Linked DNA regions of Struthio camelus. The protein of the gene in region 1 interacts with the protein of each later gene in a pairwise test. Links are inferred from orthologs where the notes say so. Each region holds a gene or a part of one and is shown on either strand. Other genes may lie near its edges.

Evidence for each region.
Region 2: the proteins of NUDT21 (region 1) and CEP126 interact in a two-hybrid assay, tested with the Homo sapiens proteins (2 studies listed by BioGRID and IntAct). The link is inferred for Struthio camelus from reciprocal best matches to the Homo sapiens genes NUDT21 and CEP126.

Annotation. Positions count from the first base shown.
Region 1 is NC_090951.1:22,003,961-22,011,932, reverse strand, and holds the start of NUDT21 (cleavage and polyadenylation specificity factor subunit 5), read left to right. Parts: upstream 1-4,880; 5' UTR 4,881-5,096; coding exon 5,097-5,212; intron 5,213-7,530; coding exon 7,531-7,731; intron 7,732-7,972. Other genes in the region: prolyl 3-hydroxylase OGFOD1, read right to left, coding at 2,021-2,112, 2,664-2,780, 3,630-3,730, 4,165-4,211, 4,308-4,453, 4,540-4,690. UniProt on the Homo sapiens protein: Component of the cleavage factor Im (CFIm) complex that functions as an activator of the pre-mRNA 3'-end cleavage and polyadenylation processing required for the maturation of pre-mRNA into functional mRNAs.
Region 2 is NC_090942.1:208,919,114-208,926,526, reverse strand, and holds the start of CEP126 (centrosomal protein of 126 kDa), read left to right. Parts: upstream 1-4,288; 5' UTR 4,289-4,375; coding exon 4,376-4,449; intron 4,450-5,471; coding exon 5,472-5,597; intron 5,598-7,413. Other genes in the region: ANGPTL5 (angiopoietin-related protein 5), read right to left, coding at 1,464-1,562. UniProt on the Homo sapiens protein: Participates in cytokinesis. Necessary for microtubules and mitotic spindle organization. Involved in primary cilium formation.

The DNA of each region.
Region 1 (7,972 bases):
CCAGAGCGAAGGCTGAAATATTTTATTAGAAGTAAAAGCATTTTAGGTTTTTCCGTTTGTTCTGTTGAACTAGCTACCACAGTCGGCAAAAACTAGCTGTCGCAGGTTAACCTGGAACTCAGAAACCACATGAGGAGCTCTGGGGCACACTTACTGCCTATAGGCTGCAGCAGGCTGTACTGCCCTTATTGTGTCTTTTACTTTTTAAAAAAATGCTGCAATTCAAGCCAGCAGGAAGAGCATTTGTCTGCTACCTTTGGCTCTGGGTTAAAGGTCTACGTATCTAACAGACTAAGAGCTAGCCCTTTATGCTGGCATTTTACCTGGTCTGTGGAAAGCCCTGATTTTCACACAGTGATTACTACTGCTAGATCTGGATTTCGTCAAACTGTGCTCTGCTATAAGTTGGGCTAAATCGAACAATTTCACGCTCCAGCGTGCTGTACTGAGTAATGAAGAGAGAGCCACCCCCTTATGACTGGTTGCTAGCAGCACATAAAGACCTTGCACTGGTTTTTCAGGACAGCCTGCTGGAAGAGAAGGAAGAAACACAGCCTGTCCTGGAAAAGGTTTTGGCTTTTATTGATAGTTATAGAGCGGTAGCGGCCCTCTCCTTGCATGAATTAAAGCTTTTCTAGCTAATTTGGAATGCCTACAGTAAACCTTATATCTCTTGGGAAATGGAAAACAGAAAAATGCTCTTAAATCAAGCTTGCTACTGGAAGCCCAGCGACCTGCTCTGCTCACCAAATAATACCCAAAGCTTTATTTGATACCTGCTGAAGAAGTATACAGCATGAAGGCCAAAATCTGAAGATCTACTAGGAATTAATAGCTAAACACTCTTTGCCAAATGGCTGAGAGGGATTTAAAGCTGGCACGTGCTGTGAAGGCTTTGTATCAGTCTGACCCTCACACAGCTCTCTAATGGCAATTCGGAAGCTCTATGATTTACTGATGAAAGGATCAAAGAAATGATTTGGTGGTTCAACAGCTGCTCTGGGAATAACCAGTGAGGTGCAGGTCCTGAAGCTTTAGATTCACAGCACTCCCAGTTAAGACAGCTGAGGTTTTTAATCTCTGTGTTAACAGTATCAGAGACAGTACGCAAGACTCTGAATGGTGCTAATGCATGGGATTAAGTTTAGGTTAGTAGGAGACAGTCACAAGGCCAAGTGGAACGTGGATTTACATGACAAGAGTAAATCACTAACTGAAAACAACTAGGGCAGTGACCAAATAGTTGTTTCTGTTAATTAATTACAAGACATAAATAACAGAAAAGTAAAACCTAAGCAGTCTAGCTGCAAACATGCCTGACCTACATCACTACACTCAGTGCTCTTCTCCAACCTCCTGCTCTTTGACACTGTTTGTTACAGTTCATGGCATTCTCAAGCAAGCAGGAGTTTCAGCTTTCAGCCAGGTGTTCACATGAAGCGGTTCTGGAGATTACACTCATGCTTTTTCCAGCCATCTTCCTGTTGCGTGCCACAAAATGCTACTTAACCATATCAGCGCATCTACTGTAGGGTATTTGGTAGGTAGGGTAGGGTAACCTACCTGTAGGGTAACTGCATCTGCGTTACAGAACTGATACGGCCATATCCACATAGTCCCCTACTGGCAATGCAGCATACTAGGGAGCATTTCTGTCTACTAGTAAAGTCATGACATCCGCATGAAAAACATGAGCTAGTCCAACAAAAGCCCTCTTCTGTCACCACAGCCAAATCCACAGCAGTAGTTTGCCAGCATAGTGACAGAAGGTAGGGATGGGAATTTCTTCCCCTAAGATGATGAAGCTATACTGCCAGAATTTTGTAGTTTAAGGTTGGCTTTGTCAGTTCTAGTTCTCCTTTAAGTCATCAGCCTTTAACATAGAGCATTTAATACGAGCATTCTGACTGCCTGCGTTTCTCCCTTTCTCTTCTACCCTCCCCATCAGGCCTGTTACAATGTACAAAATGAATCACTGCAACAGAGAGGATTTAAAAAGGAACAGAATACAGATCCTTGCCTGGTGGAAGGAGACTGGAGACACTTCAAAGAAAGCCAGTGTGTTCCATGAAGGCACTAATGACTTGACGATTTGCTGCGGCTGGAAGTGTTCTGAAGAGGAAGAGAACAGGGTTTGGTTAAGATGACTTGGAACTCACTAGCAAGCGTCATTTCCCTCGGACTTTATGACACTGTGACTGATCAGACACCTGGCTGTAAAGGAGGGAACTTAGAGCAAGAGATTGATGAGGAACCGGTGGACTTCTGTCGCTGGAAGTTATCTCCATCGCTTAAAAAATTTCCTAGCACAGTTACTGGTGTTGCCTCTATCCTGCCTCCATCTCTGTGCCCTGCAAAAAAAAGTGGATAAAAGAAAGGATTCCCCTCTTTATTAGCTTCTCCTTTTCCTCAGCTGTCACCCATTACCATAGTCTGGAAAGACTGCTACAGCCCATCTCTTTCTAAAGTGCAAATTTTACCAATACATAAGCTCCCTTGGACTGAGCAAAATCTTCCTTGTATCTAAAGTGCAAATTTTACCAATACATAAGCTCCCTTGGACTGAGCAAAATCTTCCTTGTACCATCTGAGAGGAGAGTTGCTGCAAAGGCACCTAAGCTTCATCTTTTTCAGCTATCAGAGGCTGAGGAGCAAGCTCTCACCATCTGTACTATAAAAGTCCAGCGTCCCTCCATCGCTCTTCTCCCACGGTGGCACGAGGTACAGGATGAAGGCAATTCTCCGACCTTCCAGCTCATCATCATGGCACAGCAGGACATCTGCAATTACACACATTTTCCTACAGTAGTGCCTTTCTAGCGTGTGCACTGATTTATTTCAGTGGCTGCTTCCTAGCTTTGCCCTTGCAAGGACATAACAGGAAGAAATATGCCCTTCCCAAGAACTGCATCTTTGCTTGTCTGCATCACTAATCCAGAGAGAATAACGTTTGTGAGATTTCATTACGACTGATGGATAAGCCCGCTCTGAAGGTAGAGGCGGTTAAGCCCCTCCTTACCCACTCCTCTGCTGCTGTCACTGGGCACAGCAGGAAGAGATCCTTAAGTTTATCAGTTAGTCAAACTCTTATTCTTGAATGCACAGCTGCCCTTTGAGGAGGTTTGTTGCTGGGCTGGGGGTAGGGCAGGAACAGAAAAGCTGGACCAGCAACTGGTTAGGCAAAGAGACTTTAAAAAAGCAGAATTAACAAAAGTTAATTTTACATGACTAAAAGGCTATTACAGTTGTAACCAGTTTCTGGACTCTCTATGATGACATTTTAGCACTTCACAAACTAAACTGTGGCATTTACAACCTGAACACATCATCCCTTTGTGTCCAGGAAGTTCGACAGCAAACTTTGGCTGAACGTCTCCAGAAAGGTTGGAGGCTTGCTACAAAACTGGGCCCAGCTAAAGCTCTCAGCAGCATGATTACAACAATCATTTTTCCATAATTTAGACTTGGTTTGTTTCTTGTTGGAGACTCTGATCTGCTGGGTGATAGCTGCTAGGACCTCCTAGGACTGGGAAAGGGTGGTGGTGGGCTTTGTAATTATGTCTTCTCCTCAAATATAGTTTTATGCACACCCAGGGAAGCTTTGGGGAAAGGACTGCTTACTGACTGACCGGTATATTCGTATTTAGCGCAGGATAGGTCGATCGTTGGCTCCAGTTCGATCTGGGTCACAGCAGAAAGCCACGCTCGGAATTCTTCACACAGAGCGTGCCTGGGAAGATGAGCACAAGGTAAGCATCCTCCTGAGTTACAAAGCACGTTACCAGTGACATACAGCCTAAAACTACTTTTATTATTAGCTCTCCTCCAACTATTTAAACAGTTGAAGCTACTACTCCTGCCAGAGGTACCATATATCTGAAAAACCCTACGGGAGTTGGCCAGGAAAAGTCTAGCTTTCACAGCATCACTCACAGTGACGAAGCAATACATGCAGAATGAGTTGTAAGGGACACGGATAAACGTTTCGGGGTGATAAATAACCAAGAGATGAGGGTTAACGCTGGAATCGGAGCACTGGGCTGAGAAGAAAACGCTCAGCTGCGTTTAGGGCCCTGTCCTGTGCAAAGCAGATGCTGCCCCTCCGGGCCGCTTCCCGGCAGGGCACCCTGCCCCTTCCACCACGCCGGGGGGGGGGGGCCGCACCTCAGCGCGGCGACGTGGGGCTCCGGCCTCCCGCGCAGCTCCTCGGACTGCCGCGGCCCATGGAAGAGAAGAAGGGGCGGGGGGGGGGCGGTTAGCGGCGGCGGAGCGGCGGCGCGGCGCGGCGCGGCGCGGAGCGGGCCCACCTGCCGCAGCGACAGCAGGTCGTTGCGCCGCCCGCGGAAGCCGAGGCCCAGCAGCTCGTCGCGCAGCGCCGCCGCGAAGGCCGGGCCCGCCAGGAAGCCGGGGATCAGGCCGTGCCGGAACGGGGCCGGCTCCAGCGCCGCCGCCTCTGCCAACAAAGAGCCGCCCGTGAGCGGGGCCGCCGCCGCCGCCGCGGGTGGACGGGACGGGACGGCGGTGGCGGGCGCGCCGTACCGTGGCGGAGCGGCTCCCCGCGGCGCCAGGCCGCCGCCGCCCGCTCCCGCAGCGCCGCGTCGCCGAGGGCGGCGCTCAGCTCGGCGCGCGCCCCCCGCTTCTCCCGCTTCTTCGCCGGCCCCGCCGCCGCCACGCGCCGCTTGGCGCTCATGCCCGCTGCCGCCTGACACCGCCCCCGCCAGACTACAACTCCCAGGCGCCCCCGCGCCGCCCTCCGGGCCAATCGGGGCGCGCGGCGCGCGGGGGGGGCGGGCGCCGGCGCGACGTTCCGCTGGCCAATGAGAAAGAGGGGGAAGGGCGGTGCGCGGCCCCCAAAAGCCAGTGAGGAAGCAGTGGGCGGTGCCGCTCGCTGTGGCTGGTGAGTCGCTGGAGGGGCGCAGAGCGGCTCCGCTCTATGGTCGGCTCGGGCGGAAGTGGGGCTGGGCGGTTCCGGCGAGGCGGCGCGCGGAGGGTGTGTGAGGCCCGGCGGGGAGGTTAATGGCGGACGGGGTTCCCGCCGCCGAGCAGTGACCCGCGCCCTCGCCGCCGCCCTCGCTCCGGCCCGGCCCGGCGCCGCCATGTCCGTGGTGCCGCCTAACCGCTCGCAGACCGGCTGGCCCCGCGGAGTGAACCAGTTCGGGAACAAGTACATCCAGCAGACGAAGCCGCTCACGCTGGAGAGGACCATCAACCTGTGAGCGCCGCCGCCGGGCCTCCGGGGCCGCCCTGGGCCCTCCCCGCGGCTCGCGAGCCCCTTCCCCGCTGCGCCAGCAGCCGCGGGGCCGCCCTTGGGAGGGTGCGGGGGAGCGGGAGCCTCCGCCGGGCAGCCGCTGCCTGGCTCGGCCGCAGGGCCCCGGGGAGCGCCGGCGTCTGCGCCGTGTTGGCCCTCGGAAAAGCTGCCCCCTGCCAGGCTTAAAACACGCAGAAAGCGGCCGCTTTTTGCGCAGCGTGCCGTGACGCTGCGGAGCTCCGTGCCCAGGGATGCTGGGGATACTGAAGGCTTACCTGTGGTCAGGGGAACGTGAAGCGCCTTTATGAAGTTGCTCTGAGGGTGACGAACTACATATAAAAACGAAAATCTGACTCGGGAAGCGTACAAGCTGTGACTAACAAAGTTGGGGAGTACTGTGGGTGGCACGTATGCTTCTCTCTTCACGTAGCCTTCCATAGGCATCTATCTACCTTTGGCTGCAGGGAGGAAAAATAGGCTGCTGGCCTAGGGAGCCTTCGGGCTTACCCATTGTAGCCAATAGTCTGTGTTTAGGTGTGCCAGGTGTTTGCTGACCGTGTAGCACAGGTATTTTAACTTATATCTAAGGTGTTTGCTTCCACAAGAAACACGGGGTTTCTATTGTAGTTACAAGCTATCTGCTAAAAGTATTTGCTTACTTTATGTGAGAAGTCATGTACTTCAGCTAGCTTTTTACAGTAAGCTCTGATATTTCTCTTGATAAGTATGTTTATCAAGTTGCAAAGCCAGCAACAAATGTTGACTACAGTAGTCAATACTCGATTTAGCTATCCATCAGAGAAGATGTATGTATTGTTTAGTATAGCTGAGCTTATTCCCAGTTAGAGCTAATGGTGTTGTGGAAGTTCAGATATCAACTTTAGAAACTGGAGTTTTTTTAATGCCCTTTTCTGAGAGGGAAAAAAAATCAGCAAAAGTTATCAGCCGCAACTTTTTTTAACAGGCTAAAAATGTTGAGGTACCAATGACTGCTAGTGTGATCTGTATCTTTTTTCTGTGGGAAAAAGTGAGACTACCTATTTTGGAGACTATAGAATGGAAATTAATAAAAAAAGAAATGGAGACAATTCTAACTGTAAGTGAAAAGGCGGAAGGGGGAAAATGCTTGCTAATAAAGGTATCTTTAGTTAGAAAATCATTTGTGTTGGGTCATTGTAGAGCTCATTTCACTTACAGTTTAGAACTGAAACTGGCTTGTGATTTCTGCATTGTGAAGAGTAGAGAAAGCTTGGTTTGGGGGGGAGGGGAGTGCTTCTTAGGTTGGATGTGACTCTTTGAAGACCAAATGTTGAGGGGGAAAGCGCAAGCAGAGGCTCATTCCAAAGTAAATGTCCCACATGAAATCAGCCATTAACTCAGTCAAGGAAGTTGCTGTATGCCTCAAGTTAATAAAACTGTTGATATGCGCTACTGTTCTTTTGCCCTGAACCCCTTTTCCTCACCCTTTTTACCTAATATGATGATGCTGTCTTCCCACCAACCCTCCACCTTCCAGGCCTCCTACTGTCGTATCTGTTACTTGGTTTTAGTTGTACAGTAACTTTTCCTGTTTACCCTCTGTTTTTTGCAGGACTCCAGTTTTTTGCTCAAGTTCTTTTTCCAGTTCTTTTATCTACTCCGTCCCTTTTCCCTGGAGAAATCTTGAGGTTTCCACTGTATCATCACTAGAGAATCCAAAGGTCCAATCCCTAGCTCAGTAAAGTGACCTGCTCAAACTCTTGTTTTTACTCCAGGCGTTGGCCCTGCACTTAAGCACTCGGCATTACTTGTCCTCTCTGATCCAGCTGTCAGATTTCCCACTTCAGAACAAAACCACATTTAACAGTTAGTTCTCTGGCTCTTGGCTCCTGCCCTGCAGAAAAACTGTCCTATGCAACCTCCTTCTCTTCTTTTGCCCTCCTCCCAGTTACTCTAGGAGCCTCAAAGTCCTTCTCCTTTGCAGTGTGGAGATCAAAGAGAGGCTGTTAAATAGCAGTTGCTGCTGGTTCTTCTGTGGTGCTTTGTCCCCTTCTTTTGAATCAGTGCCGTGACAGCCTGTCAGTCAGCATAACTTTCTGTACTTCTATATCATAGTGCAAGTCTCTGTGTGATGTGATCCACATAAATCAACTTGCCAACAAAAACTTCTAGTCTGCTGCTATGAACCAGCTACTTTTCACTTGAGTACAGATGGTTCTGCCTCTGGATGAATGCTGTGTCATAATAGCGCATGTGGTTTTAACTTGAATTTCTTGTCACGTAGTAACCCTTTTTCCTTGTAGGTATCCTCTTACGAATTATACGTTCGGTACAAAGGAACCCCTCTATGAGAAGGACAGCTCAGTGGCAGCTCGGTTTCAACGCATGAGGGAAGAATTTGACAAGATTGGCATGAGGCGGACAGTGGAAGGGGTTCTGATTGTGCACGAGCACAGGCTGCCCCATGTGTTGTTACTGCAGCTGGGTACAACTTTTTTCAAGCTGTAAGTATCTACTCCTTGACCAACTTTTTAGTGCGACTTTAAAGTCGCAAAGCACTAAGTGGGTAGATTAGAGGTTAAAGTGTGACTAGCTCTGTCAGAGGTTTTGAATGTTTGATTCACTTGTTACAAAGCCTAAAAATATTTTGAATGGTGAGGTTTTCTCGTAAAAAGTATTTTTGTCTGTGCTCACGTAGCTTTGAACCAACTGGGAGTCTTATGCTGTGTCACAATAGAGGGTTCC
Region 2 (7,413 bases), on another chromosome or scaffold:
AACCTCTATAAGTTTTGAAAATACTACCAACATTTCTGAAAAAGTATTGTACCTCTGAGCACTGTAAACTGGAGGCCTGAAATGCAAACACTTGCATTTAGGAAGCTCACATTTTGAGGATCACCATACCCAACAGACATCTCAAAGGCTAACAAAGTTATTTTCACTGGAAAGGAGCAGGCTTTTGCATTTACCACATATTATCAAAACAGTTCCACTGTAAATATTTGCACCTGTTATTAAGCTATGCACACAAGTCCTCCCAAGCAGATTTGCCGACAAACCGAACATTTGAAAAATATCTTAAAGGCTTTTGTAGAGGAAAGAACAAAGGGACATTATTCAGAGGGATACCACCAGGTGAAACGCTAATAATAAAAACAATGGCATAAGCAGTTTCAAACTGCTACATCTCTAAATGTTATTTTAAAATAATATTTGCATATCTTAATGTTTTTTTTCTTCCACGGTGCCATGTGACAAACCTGTGTAAGAAATAAGGGAATGTCCCTGACTCATCACATAAACAAATGCTAAAAGTAATTCCTGAAATATGTGTCATCACAGAAAGCATTATGAAACATATTTTGATGTGAGTCTCTGTGCTTTAATTGCATGATCTTAGCACTGTACACTGTTTGCACACAGTATTTTGAAATGTAAATAGGACCCTTGAAAACATACAGATCTTCAAAAAAAGAAAACTTATTTAGACTCGATTGCATCTTTAACATACTTGTTCTCATTTCCTGCTTCAGATTTCTCTTTCTGGTATTGGCACTACACTGGTACAGCACTGAACAGTTCTTTCCTGATTTTTGCTTTTAAAAAGTGAAAGTAAAAATTACAGAAAAATGTTAACAAACAGATTTTACAAAAAATTGTCTGAATTATTAATTTAATTGCATCCTGTTTCTCAAATAAATGCTAGAGAATTTAAAGAGTATGTTTCTCCAAGTTTGAAATAAGTACAAAATAAAGGAAGGAAATTTCTGTAAGAGTTATAAATAAATCATTTGAAACTTATAAATAGATCGCTTTATCACAGCTACTCACCAGATGTTCAATTAAATACTGTCAAGCAAATATTTTAAATCAACATTTATTTTGTTAAGGAGCAGATATGAAACAGACAATTAAATCTGACCGCAGCAATACAAATAAAAACCGTGAAACTGCCAAAGACAACAGAGTTGCTCTGCATTTACGCTGATGCAAGTGAGATAAAAATCTGGCCCTACCAGCTGAGCTGTGAATGAAAGACATTAAGACAAAAACGTTCTTCTCCTTATACACAGAATTGCTACAATCTCAATGCAGCTATATGAAAATACCTGATTCTTCTATATTTTCATATCTACCCCGAATAAAGCAACCTACATTTTAAACACACCTGTCACTGTTCTCAGAAACTATTCAGTTACCTTCATTATCTTAGCTAACAATATAATTGAAAATCTTACCTTGGAGGAACAAGGTTTGACATTACTTATCACAGTCTCTCCCCAGCTGAAGAAAAAAATGCTGAGACAAACAAATGAAGTTACCCGAAAGGGGATCATCTTTTACTTGAAGAAATGCAAACGCTTTGACGGGTTTTGAATTTCTGTGGAAAGAACTGCACACTCCGAAGCCCTGAGCTAACTATTTGGGAATGTGTACAGCACAAAGAGCAGCCAACACACCACTTCTTTAATGCCTGGGTTTAATAAAATGCATTCCACTAGATTTTATATACTGCATTGCTTTTTACCTGAGAGAAGTTACTGCTTATTATCTTTATATGACTCACACGAGCGTATAAGTATTTTTATTGTGATAAGACTGTGGCAGATCTTGTTAAATGCTATTTTTGAGCATTGGTATATATGTATGTTTGTACTGAATCTGGGCAAGTCTGGGCTACTTGAAAGGAAAAAGTGTTAATCACTGTTTTCATCTTTTTGCAAAGGTTTTTGTAACTAAAATGAAGCTGTTTACACTTGTCTGGTGGTAATGCACTAGATCCAGCTGTGGGGCAATTTCAGAATATGCCTTAAAAGCAAATTCCTTACAGAAAACTGAAAAATATTACTTTAAAATAATAGTTTGTGTTATGTTGAAGATTGTTTACACATGGGACAAAAAAAATCTTTTTTTAATCTAATGTTTTCTTTGGAAATGAATATCAAAAAGGTATGGAGCACCTGCAGCTGGTTTCCTCATGAGTGGAGCACATTCAGCTGCTGGTGAAATTACTAACAACTTTGTTTTTTTGATATCTTACAAAATCCAATTTTTAATTTGTTCTAACGTACTTCATAGCATGTTATATTTTTCCAAAATAAGAAACACGAGAATGTAACTAGTGCACCGACTGATGCTCTTGTAAAAAGATGTAGTCTATGATCCAAAAATACAGTCTCTGACAAGGAGGTAAGAAAGTGAAAAGATTTCATGGCTGCCCATATATGACATTAAGGAGGAAATAACAGTTTTTATTCTTCTTTTTATACACAGAACTAAGAAAAGGAGCCAAATGTTAAAAAGTAGCACTAAAAAAGATCAGAACTTTGACTGAACTTCTTATCTCTCCTCACCCCATGCAGTGGCCTTCAGTTAACCTGAAGCTTGGAGGAAAGTAAGATATGAAGTAAAGGGCTAAAGCAGATTAATCCCCCCTGGACCAAAAGGAAAGAAAACGTGTTTCTGCAGCAGCATAGTTATGTTCCAGCCTTAAGATTTGTAATCATGTCAAAATCTGTCCCATAAAGATTTAGGAACTGATCTTCATCCTTCACTGGAATATCAGTCTGTAGCCCATATTAAAATTTATGAAACTTCTTTGAAGTCAGTTGCCAGAGTAAGACCTTCTGTTTTGTAACGGCATGAGATCAGGCTGCTTCCTGTCCCAGAATAATCATACAGTTATAGAATATATGGTCCTCAGCTAGCCACCTTCTCATCCCACAAACTGAAAGATCTAAGATCTTTCACCAGGAGAAGACAGTTAATAAATCTAAAAGAGAGTTATGAAGAAGTAAAAAAGTTAAAAAAAAAAGACTAGAAGATATGTAAAGACTATTTTTAATCCTAAACTTCAGAAGGTGGGAGTTGATGCTGCACACCATCAAAACTTGCAGAAAGTCTAAAGAAGTCCCAGTCCTGCCAGGCTGGAGATGACTATGATCTTTCCAGGTGTGACGTGGGCTCAAACTCCACAGTAGTTTCGCAGCTCCACTACAGTCCTGTCTGGGTGGATCAGGTCTTGATCCTGAGAAAGCCTTCAACCGCATCCTAAATGAAGCAGTGCAAAGTGGGTCTTAAAAAGTTTACGTAGGTTGAAAAGAACAGGAAAAGTACCACGTGGAGGAAATAGCAGCGACTAGGCTTCTACCTGCGACACTTAATTCAATTGGTTGGAAAGGAGAATTTGGGGCTGGTGTTCTGAACTGGAGATGAAAGGCTTCCATTTCAGGGTTTTCCTCTCAACTATAAAACTGGGATGCTATAAACATTAAGCATGTTCGGTAATCTGAGCCTCGTATAAAATGGTAATAGTAACACCTACCTCACAAGCTGCATTAAAAATATTTGTTGGGGGGCTGTGAAAAAAGCGTTTTACAAGTGTAGAATACTATTTTTACCCTTCTAGTCAAAGACATAGAACAGCTGCACTCTTTGAAAAAGAGAGGAATTGGTGCAAACTCAAATAGAACAGCCAAGAAACGTCTCGCCAGGAAATCGCCAAGGCATTTAGCCTTGTGCTGACAACTCATCCCAGGCATGGCAATATCCCAGGACAACACACCCTGCTTTGCCTGAAAACAAAAATGCAGTGTTTCATTCTTTCAGAGCAAATTACTTTTTTGCTTTGCGTGAGTTTTTTAACTCATTTTCACACACATAGTTTAATTTTTTTATTGCTATTTCTGCACCCCGTTTAAAAAAAAAAAAAAACCTTATGTTGTGAATTCCAAGCCACAGCCTCAAGTAACAGATCTAAGACGCGTCCACACGGAGCTCCGCACACCCACAAACGGCAGCGGGGCCAGGAAGGGGTTTCATTTGTCCTGCAAAACTACTTAGAAATGTGTTTACTACGATATCAGTTAAAAACACAACAAAATAAAGCAAATCCTGCTCTTTGTGAACGGAATGCAGGACGGGGGACGTGGCGGGAGGCGGCGCGGCGCGGCGCCTCGCCGCTGCCGCTCTGCAGGCCGCTGTGGCGACACCGCCCCGACAGGGCGCGAGCCGCCCTGAGGCCCCGCCCCTCCGCCTAGGCCCCGCCCCCGCGCGTTGCCAAGGCAGCGGCGTCCCTGGGTCCCGAGATGGCGGCGCGGGCGGGCCGCGCTCGGCCCTGACCAGCGGGGCCCCGGCCCCGCGCCGCTGAATGGAGCCTGGCGGGAAGGGCCGAAACCTCCCTGGCGGCCGCCGGGACTTCGCGGTTCGCAGTGGGGCCTCCGCGTATCCTTCCGCGTACGCGGGCGGGCAGCGTGGGGCACGGCCGCCCCGCGGAGGGGGCAGGCCGCGCGGGGGATGGCGAGCTCTGTGGGGTGCCCCGTGGGGGGCAGGGGCGTGACAGAATCAGTTGAAAACGTTGAACCTGATGATCTCTCTCACCCTGACGCTCGTAAACCAAGGAGGCGGAGCGCCGCTGTCGGGGTGGTGGCTGGTGAAACAGAAATTCTGTCTGTCAGGTATTGCTTCGGTGATGACTTGAAGGAGAGCTCGTTGTACGTTATTATCTTTTAGACTACCACAGAAAAGTTGAGTGACAGTCCTCTTAGCATTTTTTTTTATTTTTCTTCTTGAAGATACTGCCAGTTGGAAAGCATATTTTCCATCCTAATTCCAGAATCCCTATTTTCTTACTTGGATGTGAGTAATGATTTAAGTGATACTGATAAAAGTTCTAAGCTCTGCCTGTACTTACAGTAAGGAGAGCTGTTTTATCTAGTGGTATGAATGCATTTCAGCTAATCCCTTAGAACTGGGGAGGGCTCTGTATGCAGACAGACTTTCCCTGTGATAAATGTGTCCGTATGTCACAGATTTAGATAATAATATGCTCTAGAGGTCCCTGCTTGGGCAGGGAGGTTGGGCTAGATGATCTCCAGAGGTCCCTTCCAACCTAAACGATTCTGTGATAACAGAAAGATGTATCATCAAATAAACCAAAGAAAGTGAGATTTCATCAGCTGATATCATAAATGTTGCATGCAAAGCCTCTGGTGTTTGTTAAAGTCACTGTAAATAGTAAGATGCAATTAAACTTGTTCTGGATGAACAAGAAGTAAAGTACTACCATAGTATATATTTATGGGACCAGCTGTTTTATAATTAGTTGAAAAGCATAGTGACATTTGGTATCTCATGATTAAAGGTTGCCCTTTCCCAAAGAGGTACATAATAAATCCTCAGTGACATTATACCTTTTTCTGAGATGTTTGATACAGATGTTTTCATTATCCTTAGCATGATACTAGGGATAGAGCTTTAAAGTTTCATTGTGAACGGGATTTAGAAGAAGAACGTCAGGCACTGAAAGAAGATCAAAAAACACATCGGAGGAGGGCACAAAAATTTTCCATAGAGACAAATAGAAGAAGGAAGTAAGTAAATAAGGTTCTTTTGGCAGGAGACTGTAAAGAATGGAGTCAAAGCTTTGAGACAGCTGAATATATTTCTACTGTTTGCATGTTCAGATAGTCTGTTAAATAGTGTCACTGTTTTGTTCTGAAAGAGTCTAGGCCTTAAAGTTTCACTAATCTAATTTCTTGCTATAGAACATACAAAAAGCACAATATTCAGAGTTACTGAATTACTTCTTGGAAACTTCCTGTAGGCACCCTTTTATTGTTTAGAATAAAAGTAAGCAGTGCTTTCATTTTGTGCCTCTGACCTGCATTTCTAGTATTTTCTTCAATTTTTGTATTAGCTTCAGTGAGTGTATAATAATGCAGATACACCATAAGAATAAGCGGGCAGGAAGTCTCCCGTTACCATTGTCTACTGAAGTGTATGCACTTTTAGTTGTGTGACTCTCCTATGTGGTGAGCCTTTGTACACCCACTTCCCAATAAACTCAAAATTAAGGCTTTCTAGTACCAAAATATATTTGTAATAAAGTTTTATTTTAAAGGAAGCTTTGAATGCTCTGCCTTTCTACATACATGATAAATGCAAAGCGATGAAATACTCTATGACAAATGGATCAAATAAACTACATCCTGAGACATTTTGGTGAAGTGCGGTAAACAGTGTAACGGGCAGGGAGGGATCTTCCCAGGCACTCAGAAGATACTGTCACATAGACCTAGAAACTAGGCTGTGTGTGTAGCGGAGACAGAAGGGTTCCCCTCTGAGACAGTTCAGAGCGAACCCGCAGCCTCAAAGCTGTTTCCTCTGCCTTGTGTTGACTCTGAAATGCTCGTCCACTGCAGTTCCATGTCAGATGATTTCTGTTACACAATGTTTACAGTTGAAATATATTGATAACTCAGAACAGAAGCAATAGATATTGTTTATACAGCCCTTATAGCTTGACAATGGCTTGATACAGTGTGCTGTCAGCAAATATTTTAAAATATAAAGAAAAATGGAGGAGGAAGTATAATCACCTGGGACTGATTAAAGACAGTGTGTGACCTGCAGCTTTTGCAGATAGTAATAAGCTGAGTCTTGGCTGAAAGATAAAATATCTTAGTTCTCTGAAATGGTGCTGCTGTAACACCACGCACCTGAAATGGATGCTGTTTATCATATTACTGGTCTTGAAATACTATACTCCAATGTAAAAGCAAACACTAGCCAGTCTGCATATTTTTGCTGGACTAGTATAATCAAAACTAATACTCACGGATATATAAATACATTTCCACATGAATTTCATTGTAGCCTTAGGAAACACAGTATAAATCTAAGTTACGCAGGTGAGCCAGTTAAAATTTTAGGTGTGGTAATCATAAAATGAAATTGTTTCCATTTGTGATGATTGAGAATGACATAATAGCATAACTACAAGCATAATAAGCAGTTTAGATGGAAGTGTGTCATGATGAGTCTCCCCCTAATAACTGAAAATGAGTTGTCTAAAGTTAGAAAGATAGTAAGTGTATACAGTGTTAATAACTTGTGAAACAAAATTCAAAATTAAGGTTCACTGCATATATAAAAGAAAGCAATTTGGAAATAAAAAGTTGATTGATACTGAATATTTTTTCCCAGACAATTATGTAGATAGGAGGTGATTGATCTCCTAATGGAACAGCCATCAAGTCATGCCTCAGATCTGGGCATGAGCCAAGATCCATTATGTTTTAAGACTAAACATGTAAAGTTGCTAGCTGTGATGATGACTTCTTAAGGGTAGCATTACTTCCTCATGGTCTACATTCGCACCTGGCTGCACCCTAAGTTCTCCCTGGC